Linked DNA regions of Saccharomyces cerevisiae S288C. The protein of the gene in region 4 purifies or fractionates together with the protein of the main gene of each other region. This does not show direct contact. Each region holds a gene or a part of one and is shown on either strand. Other genes may lie near its edges. The genes, in order: TDH2, FBA1, GPM1 and TPI1.

Region 1 (3,489 bases), on a different chromosome or scaffold from region 4:
TAGGAATTTCATCATCTTGGAAAAGGGCAATTCTTGTGTCTGGTTTAATTTGGTTAGCAAATGCTTCATCAACATCTAATGTAATAGGGATGGTCCACAATGTGCCGTCTGCTAATCTCGAATCTGTAACAACAGAGGAGTAATCGTTTTCGTTCAAAAACCCAGTCAGAGGAGAAAACCCACCATTTAGAATCAATTCAATATCACATAGTTGTCTAGGAGTCAAGTTCCATACTAAAATGTCCGAAGATTGCGCTTCAGATAACAATTCATTCTTCTTTAACGCATCTCTAGCAATCAAGTCTTGTAGAATACCACCGTGAGGAGCAGGCATGTTAATTATACTTTATTCTTGTTATTATTATACTTTCTTAGTTCCTTTTCAATTGTTAAGAAACGATATCACAACTGTTACGACAGAGAGAGACCCAAGCTAGAGATCACAAGCTAAAAAAGAACCAAGTTTACATATATATATATATATATATATATATATATATATATATCCATATTCATATTTCTCGAGAAAGAGCCTCTATTTCTCATTGGTAAGTAACTTCATAAGAGACTAAGTTGTAAAACTGTGGCTTTGTTATACGGTGATTTCCTTTGGAGGTTGCTAAGGTTTATGGTGTTGAGTGCAGTGTGCACGACAGGGACCGCTAGAATGCGGTGAGTTACAAAATTACACGTGACTTTTCTGGTCACGTGACCTTTTTTTCTGTCAGCAATCCGTAGGATGCGCGTTGGCGCTACAAGTGTGTCATATCTGTACTATATTTGTACACTTATATGTAGTTGTGACAAAAGTCTCTGTTAGTACTAAATTAAACGATGTTATATCTGTGGACCCCCTCACCTTATACCACTACGTACATATCGTTGGAAAATCTAGATCAGAGGGTGGTAAATGAAGTGTAATAGTATTCATTTTTCTTATAAATCATCCCTTCCGTGATTTATACAAAAGAAGAGGAGAATATGCTGAATACTTGGTATATTACTCTACATTATACTCTTATCTTGACGGGTATTCTGAGCATCTTACTCAGTTTCAAGATCTTTTAATGTCCAAAAACATTTGAGCCGATCTAAATACTTCTGTGTTTTCATTAATTTATAAATTGTACTCTTTTAAGACATGGAAAGTACCAACATCGGTTGAAACAGTTTTTCATTTACTTATGGTTTATTGGTTTTTCCAGTGAATGATTATTTGTCGTTACCCTTTCGTAAAAGTTCAAACACGTTTTTAAGTATTGTTTAGTTGCTCTTTCGACATATATGATTATCCCTGCGCGGCTAAAGTTAAGGATGCAAAAAACATAAGACAACTGAAGTTAATTTACGTCAATTAAGTTTTCCAGGGTAATGATGTTTTGGGCTTCCACTAATTCAATAAGTATGTCATGAAATACGTTGTGAAGAGCATCCAGAAATAATGAAAAGAAACAACGAAACTGGGTCGGCCTGTTGTTTCTTTTCTTTACCACGTGATCTGCGGCATTTACAGGAAGTCGCGCGTTTTGCGCAGTTGTTGCAACGCAGCTACGGCTAACAAAGCCTAGTGGAACTCGACTGATGTGTTAGGGCCTAAAACTGGTGGTGACAGCTGAAGTGAACTATTCAATCCAATCATGTCATGGCTGTCACAAAGACCTTGCGGACCGCACGTACGAACACATACGTATGCTAATATGTGTTTTGATAGTACCCAGTGATCGCAGACCTGCAATTTTTTTGTAGGTTTGGAAGAATATATAAAGGTTGCACTCATTCAAGATAGTTTTTTTCTTGTGTGTCTATTCATTTTATTATTGTTTGTTTAAATGTTAAAAAAACCAAGAACTTAGTTTCAAATTAAATTCATCACACAAACAAACAAAACAAAATGGTTAGAGTTGCTATTAACGGTTTCGGTAGAATCGGTAGATTGGTTATGAGAATTGCTTTGCAAAGAAAGAACGTCGAAGTTGTTGCTTTGAACGATCCTTTCATCTCTAACGACTACTCCGCTTACATGTTCAAGTACGACTCTACTCACGGTAGATACGCTGGTGAAGTTTCCCACGATGACAAGCACATCATCGTTGATGGTCACAAGATCGCCACTTTCCAAGAAAGAGACCCAGCTAACTTGCCATGGGCTTCTCTAAACATTGACATCGCCATTGACTCCACTGGTGTTTTCAAGGAATTGGACACTGCTCAAAAGCACATTGACGCTGGTGCCAAGAAGGTTGTCATCACTGCTCCATCTTCCACCGCCCCAATGTTCGTCATGGGTGTTAACGAAGAAAAATACACTTCTGACTTGAAGATTGTTTCCAACGCTTCTTGTACCACCAACTGTTTGGCTCCATTGGCCAAGGTTATCAACGATGCTTTCGGTATTGAAGAAGGTTTGATGACCACTGTTCACTCCATGACCGCCACCCAAAAGACTGTTGACGGTCCATCCCACAAGGACTGGAGAGGTGGTAGAACCGCTTCCGGTAACATCATCCCATCCTCTACCGGTGCTGCTAAGGCTGTCGGTAAGGTCTTGCCAGAATTGCAAGGTAAGTTGACCGGTATGGCTTTCAGAGTCCCAACCGTCGATGTTTCCGTTGTTGACTTGACTGTCAAGTTGAACAAGGAAACCACCTACGATGAAATCAAGAAGGTTGTCAAGGCTGCCGCTGAAGGTAAGTTGAAGGGTGTCTTGGGTTACACTGAAGACGCTGTTGTCTCCTCTGACTTCTTGGGTGACTCTAACTCTTCCATCTTCGATGCTGCCGCTGGTATCCAATTGTCTCCAAAGTTCGTCAAGTTGGTTTCCTGGTACGACAACGAATACGGTTACTCTACCAGAGTTGTCGACTTGGTTGAACACGTTGCCAAGGCTTAAATTTAACTCCTTAAGTTACTTTAATGATTTAGTTTTTATTATTAATAATTCATGCTCATGACATCTCATATACACGTTTATAAAACTTAAATAGATTGAAAATGTATTAAAGATTCCTCAGGGATTCGATTTTTTTGGAAGTTTTTGTTTTTTTTTCCTTGAGATGCTGTAGTATTTGGGAACAATTATACAATCGAAAGATATATGCTTACATTCGACCGTTTTAGCCGTGATCATTATCCTATAGTAACATAACCTGAAGCATAACTGACACTACTATCATCAATACTTGTCACATGAGAACTCTGTGAATAATTAGGCCACTGAAATTTGATGCCTGAAGGACCGGCATCACGGATTTTCGATAAAGCACTTAGTATCACACTAATTGGCTTTTCGCCGCATATGGTGTTTCCGGTGATTTCCAAGTATTGTTTCCAAGCATCGTACCTTTCACCATTTGGAGTATCACTTAGCGTTTTCATCGCATATCTGTCCATTATTTCAATGGATTGCCAAATGGGAACTTGATGATGTGAAAGTTTACTCCTAGCAGTTAACATTTCCACTTCTGTTTCCTCTTGAATGGCATCATTCAA
Region 2 (3,575 bases), on a different chromosome or scaffold from region 4:
GATGGTACCGGCCTGACAGTATTTGATTTGAAAAGGGAAATTATTCAAGAGAACAAACTAGGTGACGGCACAGATTTCCAATTAAAAATTTACAACCCAGATACAGAAGAGGAATACGACGATGATGCCTTTGTTATACCTAGATCTACTAGTGTCATAGTAAAAAGATCTCCAGCAATTAAATCATTCTCCGTACACAGTCGACTTAAAGGGAATGTGGGAGCAGCAGCTCTTGGGAACGCAACAAGGTATGTTACTGGTAGGCCAAGAGTGTTGCAAAAGAGACAACACACTGCTACAACCACTGCTAATGTTAGTGGTACAACGGAAGAAGAAAGAATTGCTAGTATGTTTGCCACACAAGAAAATCAATGGGAACAAACGCAAGAAGAAATGTCTGCAGCCACACCTGTTTTTTTCAAGTCACAGACGAATAAGAATTCTGCACAAGAAAACGAAGGCCCACCGCCACCAGGTTATATGTGCTATCGTTGTGGGGGTAGAGACCACTGGATTAAAAATTGTCCAACTAACAGCGATCCAAATTTTGAAGGAAAAAGAATCAGAAGAACCACAGGTATTCCAAAGAAGTTTTTAAAATCCATTGAAATAGATCCCGAGACAATGACACCGGAAGAGATGGCTCAGCGAAAGATTATGATTACGGACGAAGGCAAGTTCGTGGTACAAGTTGAAGACAAACAATCATGGGAAGACTACCAAAGGAAAAGAGAGAACCGTCAAATTGATGGTGATGAAACCATTTGGAGAAAAGGCCATTTCAAAGATCTTCCTGACGATTTAAAATGTCCCTTGACAGGTGGTCTTTTGAGGCAGCCGGTAAAGACAAGCAAGTGCTGTAACATAGATTTCTCAAAAGAGGCGCTGGAAAATGCACTGGTAGAGAGCGACTTTGTATGCCCCAATTGCGAAACCCGCGATATCCTTCTCGATTCTTTAGTACCCGACCAGGACAAGGAAAAGGAGGTCGAAACGTTTTTGAAGAAACAAGAGGAACTACACGGAAGCTCTAAAGATGGCAACCAGCCAGAAACTAAGAAAATGAAGTTGATGGATCCAACTGGCACCGCTGGCTTGAACAACAATACCAGCCTTCCAACTTCTGTAAATAACGGCGGTACGCCAGTGCCACCAGTACCGTTACCTTTCGGTATACCTCCTTTCCCCATGTTTCCAATGCCCTTCATGCCTCCAACGGCTACTATCACAAATCCTCATCAAGCTGACGCAAGCCCTAAGAAATGAATAACAATACTGACAGTACTAAATAATTGCCTACTTGGCTTCACATACGTTGCATACGTCGATATAGATAATAATGATAATGACAGCAGGATTATCGTAATACGTAATAGTTGAAAATCTCAAAAATGTGTGGGTCATTACGTAAATAATGATAGGAATGGGATTCTTCTATTTTTCCTTTTTCCATTCTAGCAGCCGTCGGGAAAACGTGGCATCCTCTCTTTCGGGCTCAATTGGAGTCACGCTGCCGTGAGCATCCTCTCTTTCCATATCTAACAACTGAGCACGTAACCAATGGAAAAGCATGAGCTTAGCGTTGCTCCAAAAAAGTATTGGATGGTTAATACCATTTGTCTGTTCTCTTCTGACTTTGACTCCTCAAAAAAAAAAAATCTACAATCAACAGATCGCTTCAATTACGCCCTCACAAAAACTTTTTTCCTTCTTCTTCGCCCACGTTAAATTTTATCCCTCATGTTGTCTAACGGATTTCTGCACTTGATTTATTATAAAAAGACAAAGACATAATACTTCTCTATCAATTTCAGTTATTGTTCTTCCTTGCGTTATTCTTCTGTTCTTCTTTTTCTTTTGTCATATATAACCATAACCAAGTAATACATATTCAAAATGGGTGTTGAACAAATCTTAAAGAGAAAGACCGGTGTCATCGTTGGTGAAGATGTCCACAACTTATTCACTTACGCTAAGGAACACAAGTTCGCTATTCCAGCTATTAACGTCACCTCTTCTTCTACTGCCGTCGCTGCTTTAGAAGCTGCTAGAGACAGCAAGTCCCCAATCATTTTGCAAACCTCTAACGGTGGTGCTGCTTACTTCGCTGGTAAGGGTATCTCTAACGAAGGTCAAAATGCTTCCATCAAGGGTGCTATTGCCGCTGCCCACTACATCAGATCCATTGCTCCAGCTTACGGTATCCCAGTTGTCTTACACTCTGACCACTGTGCCAAGAAGTTGTTGCCATGGTTCGATGGTATGTTGGAAGCTGATGAAGCTTACTTCAAGGAACACGGTGAACCATTATTCTCCTCCCACATGTTGGATTTGTCTGAAGAAACCGATGAAGAAAACATCTCTACTTGTGTCAAGTACTTCAAGAGAATGGCCGCTATGGACCAATGGTTAGAAATGGAAATCGGTATTACCGGTGGTGAAGAAGATGGTGTTAACAACGAAAACGCTGACAAGGAAGACTTGTACACCAAGCCAGAACAAGTTTACAACGTCTACAAGGCTTTGCACCCAATCTCTCCAAACTTCTCCATTGCTGCTGCTTTCGGTAACTGTCACGGTTTGTACGCTGGTGACATCGCTTTGAGACCAGAAATCTTGGCTGAACACCAAAAGTACACCAGAGAACAAGTTGGTTGCAAGGAAGAAAAGCCATTGTTCTTGGTCTTCCACGGTGGTTCCGGTTCTACTGTCCAAGAATTCCACACTGGTATTGACAACGGTGTTGTCAAGGTCAACTTGGACACTGACTGTCAATACGCTTACTTGACTGGTATCAGAGACTACGTCTTGAACAAGAAGGACTACATAATGTCCCCAGTCGGTAACCCAGAAGGTCCAGAAAAGCCAAACAAGAAGTTCTTCGACCCAAGAGTCTGGGTTAGAGAAGGTGAAAAGACCATGGGTGCTAAGATCACCAAGTCTTTGGAAACTTTCCGTACCACTAACACTTTATAAGTTAATTCAAATTAATTGATATAGTTTTTTAATGAGTATTGAATCTGTTTAGAAATAATGGAATATTATTTTTATTTATTTATTTATATTATTGGTCGGCTCTTTTCTTCTGAAGGTCAATGACAAAATGATATGAAGGAAATAATGATTTCTAAAATTTTACAACGTAAGATATTTTTACAAAAGCCTAGCTCATCTTTTGTCATGCACTATTTTACTCACGCTTGAAATTAACGGCCAGTCCACTGCGGAGTCATTTCAAAGTCATCCTAATCGATCTATCGTTTTTGATAGCTCATTTTGGAGTTCGCGATTGTCTTCTGTTATTCACAACTGTTTTAATTTTTATTTCATTCTGGAACTCTTCGAGTTCTTTGTAAAGTCTTTCATAGTAGCTTACTTTATCCTCCAACATATTTAACTTCATGTCAATTTCGGCTCTTAAATTTTCCACATCATCAAGTTCAACATCATCTTTTAACTTGAATTTATTCTCTAGCTCTTCCAACCAAGCCTCATTGCTCCTTGATTTACTGGTGAAAAGTGATACACTTTGCGCGCAATCCAGGTCAAAACTTTCCTGCAAAGAATTCACCAAT
Region 3 (3,329 bases), on a different chromosome or scaffold from region 4:
TATATCCTCGAGGAGACACTTCCAGTATATTCTGTATACATAATATAACAGCCTTTATCAACATTGGAATCCCAACAATTATCTCAAAATTCACCAACCTCTCATGGCGCATATTCATCATGCATGTAACTACCACATCAATGTTCAATCATGGACTTTTAACTAATCTTAAGTACTATTCGAACTGCCCATTCAGCTTTTCCCTTTGCAATTGGTGCACTCCTACTTGAACGAATTCGCGGGGTGTACATTAAACTACGATGTAAACATCAAGGTTATTGCTATAACATGTCATGTCACCATTAATTACCACTCATTCCAACATACTGTCCCTGACGAAAACTGTTTATGCGAGCGCAAAATGAACCTATTCAATTAATAATACTCCTCAAATTGCTACCACGACAGGCTGAAAAAAGATGTCGACGAATAATGTAATCGTGTCAAACAAACGTTATCTTGACTATATATAGCTACTTAATTTGAAATAATAAACTATACAAGTCTATATCATTGATATATTCAGTAAGAAAAATGGAGGGAAAAAGAAATCATCAAATCATTCATTCTTCAGACTTATTTCTTACCTTGGTTGGCAACAGCAGCGGCACCAGCAGCGGCAGCTTCTGGGTCCAAGTAGTAAGATGGCTTAGATGGCTTCAAGTTTTCGTCCAATTCGAAGACCAATGGAATACCAGTTGGGATGTTCAACTTAGCAATGTCAGCATCAGAGATACCTTCCAAGTGCTTAACCAAACCTCTCAAGGAGTTACCGTGAGCGGCGATCATGACGGTCTTACCACTCAACAAGTCCTTGGCAATGACATCTTGCCAGTATGGCAACAATCTGTCAATGACCAAAGCCAAAGATTCAGTTTCTGGCAAGACATTTGGGTCAACGTACTTGTATCTTTCATCACCCTTTTGAGAGAATGGAGAAGAAGCGTCGATTGGGGGAGGTGGAACATCGAAGGATCTTCTGTAGGTGTTGAATTTTTCTTCACCGAACTTCTTCAAAGTTTCAGCCTTGTCCTTACCTTGTAAGTCACCGTAATGTCTTTCGTTCAATCTCCAGGATCTGTTGACTGGAATCCATAATCTGTCAGCCTTTTCCAAAGCAATGTTAGCAGTTTGGATAGCTCTGGACAACTTGGAAGTGTACAAGACGTCTGGGTAGACCTTCTTTTCCTTCAACAATTCACCGGCTCTAGCGGCTTCTTGTTGACCCTTGGCAGACAATTTAACATCAACCCAACCGGTGAATAAGTTCTTTTCGTTCCATTCGGATTGACCGTGTCTAACTAAAACTAACTTTGGCATTATTGTAATATGTGTGTTTGTTTGGATTATTAAGAAGAATAATTACAAAAAAAATTACAAAGGAAGGTAATTACAACAGAATTAAGAAAGGACAAGAAGGAGGAAGAGAATCAGTTCATTATTTCTTCTTTGTTATATAACAAACCCAAGTAGCGATTTGGCCATACATTAAAAGTTGAGAACCACCCTCCCTGGCAACAGCCACAACTCGTTACCATTGTTCATCACGATCATGAAACTCGCTGTCAGCTGAAATTTCACCTCAGTGGATCTCTCTTTTTATTCTTCATCGTTCCACTAACCTTTTTCCATCAGCTGGCAGGGAACGGAAAGTGGAATCCCATTTAGCGAGCTTCCTCTTTTCTTCAAGAAAAGACGAAGCTTGTGTGTGGGTGCGCGCGCTAGTATCTTTCCACATTAAGAAATATACCATAAAGGTTACTTAGACATCACTATGGCTATATATATATATATATATATATATATATATATATGTAACTTAGCACCATCGCGCGTGCATCACTGCATGTGTTAACCGAAAAGTTTGGCGAACACTTCACCGACACGGTCATTTAGATCTGTCGTCTGCATTGCACGTCCCTTAGCCTTAAATCCTAGGCGGGAGCATTCTCGTGTAATTGTGCAGCCTGCGTAGCAACTCAACATAGCGTAGTCTACCCAGTTTTTCAAGGGTTTATCGTTAGAAGATTCTCCCTTTTCTTCCTGCTCACAAATCTTAAAGTCATACATTGCACGACTAAATGCAAGCATGCATGATATAGCTCCTGTCAAAGTATCACCTTGGCCTCCTACCCTCTTGTTGCTGCCCTCTTCGCTGTTCGTCAACATGTCTTTTTCACTATCGGGTGAGAATATCTTATCTGACTGACCTTTCTCCACCACAATACAATTCAATTCCTGGGCGATCAAGCTGCCCATCTCGGAGTGAGAGTCTCCCTTCTTGCCTATGGCATCACATAGTCTTTTGAATTCTACCACATTGGGCGTCAAGATCACTCTACCTTTGGGGTAGCTTTTCAGCATTTCTTTGACTTCGCTATCTTGAGTTACTAAGAACAGTCCATCAGCATCAATTACTAACGGGATCTTGCCCTCATGTTTTTCAAGTATATATCTTATGATATCCTTAATGGATTTTAACATTAGGGGGTCCCTACCCAAGCCGGGTCCAATTACCACAACGTGGATTCTATCCAATAAGGAATTGATTTTCTTCCTTTGTTCGTCCATATCAACGTCTAATTTGGTGTTACTCATACGAAGGTATGGATGAACCATTAGGTTTGGGGTGTACGATTTAATGACCGTACCAGCGTTGTATTCGCAGATGACATGTGTCAAATCACAGCCCATCAAGGCTGTAGCATTGGCGCTGAAATACGGTGCCCCTGTATAATCTTCGCATCCTCCAATAATGCAAACTCTCCCACCAGACTGTCCCTTATGAAACTTTGGCAATAAAGGTGGTATACATCTTTTCTGCGCCAACTTTATCAATTCTCTATGAGACAATTCTGCTAACATTTCCAGTGATACGGTAGTGATCGTATTGAACTGGTGTTGCTAATAAAATTTCACCGACGCCTATATACCTATTTACACCTTTACATATATATCTACTAGATCACGTTGCAAGACCCATCACATCGCATCACATCACATCACTCCCTATTCTGCCCTTTACAGCGCAAAGGAGTCGTGTGTGGGTGTGTGCTCCTTTTGACGATCATAAGAGTCCATTTCTAGTATGCAAGCTGGTAACAATAGGTGAATGAATTAGGTTCATTTGCGATGACCTTCAGTATCCCTCCACGCAATGCTAAACTATCCCCCTCATTATGACGCCTATATCGTATAAGGAACTTGTTACCCCTGACAATTCAAACTTCAAAGGTCTAAGACCAAACAAGCGTAGGAACTATCGCTCGGAGTGTTTCTCCGTTTGAAAAAAGAAGAGAAATAAGGGCCCTTGATTGGTGTCTTGTCGA
Region 4 (3,038 bases):
TTCTGAACAAATAATGATCGAGTACCCACCGCGGTTAATGTCCCAGTTTTCATTTTTACCCGATATCCTGCAGAGACCGAGAGGCATGAAAAAAAAAAAGCTAGTTCTCAACTGCATTAATTGCAGCTCGTATTCATGGTTCAACATAAAAGAACTTACGCTACAGCATTCCATTTGAATAACTCAGAGTATTAGTAAAAGAAATGTGTGAAGAGAATGTTCATGTTAGTGAAGATGTTGCTGGCAGTCACGGTTCTTTTACGAATGCCAGACCTAGGTTAATTGTACTAATAAGGCATGGGGAAAGCGAATCAAATAAAAACAAGGAGGTCAATGGTTATATTCCTAACCATCTGATTTCTTTAACGAAAACAGGTCAAATCCAAGCTAGACAAGCTGGTATTGACTTATTACGTGTTTTAAACGTAGACGATCACAACTTGGTGGAGGATTTGGCTAAGAAGTATATTAAAGATGAAAGTAGCAGGAGAACTTTACCGCTGAAGGACTATACCAGGCTGAGTAGAGAAAAAGACACAAACATAGTTTTTTATACATCACCCTATAGAAGAGCAAGGGAAACATTGAAAGGTATTTTGGACGTCATCGATGAATATAATGAATTAAACAGTGGTGTTCGTATATGTGAAGATATGAGATATGATCCACATGGTAAACAGAAACATGCATTTTGGCCGAGAGGACTTAATAATACTGGTGGTGTTTACGAAAATAATGAAGATAATATTTGTGAAGGGAAGCCTGGAAAATGTTATCTGCAATATCGGGTTAAGGATGAGCCAAGAATAAGGGAACAAGATTTTGGTAATTTCCAAAAAATCAATAGCATGCAGGACGTTATGAAGAAGAGATCTACGTATGGTCATTTCTTCTTCAGATTCCCTCATGGAGAAAGTGCGGCAGATGTATATGACAGAGTCGCCAGTTTCCAAGAGACTTTATTCAGGCACTTCCATGATAGGCAAGAGAGAAGACCCAGAGATGTTGTTGTCCTAGTTACACATGGTATTTATTCCAGAGTATTCCTGATGAAATGGTTTAGATGGACATACGAAGAGTTTGAATCGTTTACCAATGTTCCTAACGGGAGCGTAATGGTGATGGAACTGGACGAATCCATCAATAGATACGTCCTGAGGACCGTGCTACCCAAATGGACTGATTGTGAGGGAGACCTAACTACATAGTGTTTAAAGATTACGGATATTTAACTTACTTAGAATAATGCCATTTTTTTGAGTTATAATAATCCTACGTTAGTGTGAGCGGGATTTAAACTGTGAGGACCTTAATACATTCAGACACTTCTGCGGTATCACCCTACTTATTCCCTTCGAGATTATATCTAGGAACCCATCAGGTTGGTGGAAGATTACCCGTTCTAAGACTTTTCAGCTTCCTCTATTGATGTTACACCTGGACACCCCTTTTCTGGCATCCAGTTTTTAATCTTCAGTGGCATGTGAGATTCTCCGAAATTAATTAAAGCAATCACACAATTCTCTCGGATACCACCTCGGTTGAAACTGACAGGTGGTTTGTTACGCATGCTAATGCAAAGGAGCCTATATACCTTTGGCTCGGCTGCTGTAACAGGGAATATAAAGGGCAGCATAATTTAGGAGTTTAGTGAACTTGCAACATTTACTATTTTCCCTTCTTACGTAAATATTTTTCTTTTTAATTCTAAATCAATCTTTTTCAATTTTTTGTTTGTATTCTTTTCTTGCTTAAATCTATAACTACAAAAAACACATACATAAACTAAAAATGGCTAGAACTTTCTTTGTCGGTGGTAACTTTAAATTAAACGGTTCCAAACAATCCATTAAGGAAATTGTTGAAAGATTGAACACTGCTTCTATCCCAGAAAATGTCGAAGTTGTTATCTGTCCTCCAGCTACCTACTTAGACTACTCTGTCTCTTTGGTTAAGAAGCCACAAGTCACTGTCGGTGCTCAAAACGCCTACTTGAAGGCTTCTGGTGCTTTCACCGGTGAAAACTCCGTTGACCAAATCAAGGATGTTGGTGCTAAGTGGGTTATTTTGGGTCACTCCGAAAGAAGATCTTACTTCCACGAAGATGACAAGTTCATTGCTGACAAGACCAAGTTCGCTTTAGGTCAAGGTGTCGGTGTCATCTTGTGTATCGGTGAAACTTTGGAAGAAAAGAAGGCCGGTAAGACTTTGGATGTTGTTGAAAGACAATTGAACGCTGTCTTGGAAGAAGTTAAGGACTGGACTAACGTCGTTGTCGCTTACGAACCAGTCTGGGCCATTGGTACCGGTTTGGCTGCTACTCCAGAAGATGCTCAAGATATTCACGCTTCCATCAGAAAGTTCTTGGCTTCCAAGTTGGGTGACAAGGCTGCCAGCGAATTGAGAATCTTATACGGTGGTTCCGCTAACGGTAGCAACGCCGTTACCTTCAAGGACAAGGCTGATGTCGATGGTTTCTTGGTCGGTGGTGCTTCTTTGAAGCCAGAATTTGTTGATATCATCAACTCTAGAAACTAAGATTAATATAATTATATAAAAATATTATCTTCTTTTCTTTATATCTAGTGTTATGTAAAATAAATTGATGACTACGGAAAGCTTTTTTATATTGTTTCTTTTTCATTCTGAGCCACTTAAATTTCGTGAATGTTCTTGTAAGGGACGGTAGATTTACAAGTGATACAACAAAAAGCAAGGCGCTTTTTCTAATAAAAAGAAGAAAAGCATTTAACAATTGAACACCTCTATATCAACGAAGAATATTACTTTGTCTCTAAATCCTTGTAAAATGTGTACGATCTCTATATGGGTTACTCATAAGTGTACCGAAGACTGCATTGAAAGTTTATGTTTTTTCACTGGAGGCGTCATTTTCGCGTTGAGAAGATGTTCTTATCCAAATTTCAACTGTTATATAGAAGAGCAAAAAATTGCCAAAAAAAACAACATTTATTCATTTGAAATATAAAATTTGGGCTTCTATATTTTAATATTGCTTTTCAATTACTGTTATTAAA

Evidence for each region.
Region 1: the proteins of TPI1 (region 4) and TDH2 purify together in Saccharomyces cerevisiae (affinity purification with mass spectrometry; 2 studies listed by BioGRID, with this or other methods). This does not show direct contact.
Region 2: the proteins of TPI1 (region 4) and FBA1 purify together in Saccharomyces cerevisiae (affinity purification with mass spectrometry; 2 studies listed by BioGRID, with this or other methods). This does not show direct contact.
Region 3: the proteins of TPI1 (region 4) and GPM1 purify together in Saccharomyces cerevisiae (affinity purification with mass spectrometry; 2 studies listed by BioGRID, with this or other methods). This does not show direct contact.

Annotation. Positions count from the first base shown.
Region 1 is NC_001142.9:453,084-456,572, reverse strand, and holds TDH2 (glyceraldehyde-3-phosphate dehydrogenase (phosphorylating) TDH2), read left to right. Parts: upstream 1-1,891; coding exon 1,892-2,890; downstream 2,891-3,489. Other genes in the region: MET3 (sulfate adenylyltransferase), read right to left, coding at 1-334; MHO1 (Mho1p), read right to left, coding at 3,127-3,489. UniProt on the Saccharomyces cerevisiae protein: Glyceraldehyde-3-phosphate dehydrogenase (GAPDH) involved in glycolysis and gluconeogenesis. Catalyzes the reaction of glyceraldehyde-3-phosphate to 1,3 bis-phosphoglycerate.
Region 2 is NC_001143.9:325,809-329,383, reverse strand, and holds FBA1 (fructose-bisphosphate aldolase FBA1), read left to right. Parts: upstream 1-1,896; coding exon 1,897-2,976; downstream 2,977-3,575. Other genes in the region: cleavage polyadenylation factor subunit MPE1, read left to right, coding at 1-1,266; BLI1 (Bli1p), read right to left, coding at 3,272-3,575. UniProt on the Saccharomyces cerevisiae protein: Catalyzes the aldol condensation of dihydroxyacetone phosphate (DHAP or glycerone-phosphate) with glyceraldehyde 3-phosphate (G3P) to form fructose 1,6-bisphosphate (FBP) in gluconeogenesis and the reverse reaction in glycolysis.
Region 3 is NC_001143.9:163,066-166,394, forward strand, and holds GPM1 (phosphoglycerate mutase GPM1), read right to left. Parts: upstream 1,321-3,329; coding exon 577-1,320; downstream 1-576. Other genes in the region: NNR2 (NADHX dehydratase), read right to left, coding at 1,852-2,865. UniProt on the Saccharomyces cerevisiae protein: Interconversion of 3- and 2-phosphoglycerate with 2,3-bisphosphoglycerate as the primer of the reaction. Can also catalyze the reaction of EC 5.4.2.4 (synthase), but with a reduced activity.
Region 4 is NC_001136.10:555,226-558,263, reverse strand, and holds TPI1 (triose-phosphate isomerase TPI1), read left to right. Parts: upstream 1-1,791; coding exon 1,792-2,538; downstream 2,539-3,038. Other genes in the region: acid phosphatase DET1, read left to right, coding at 204-1,208.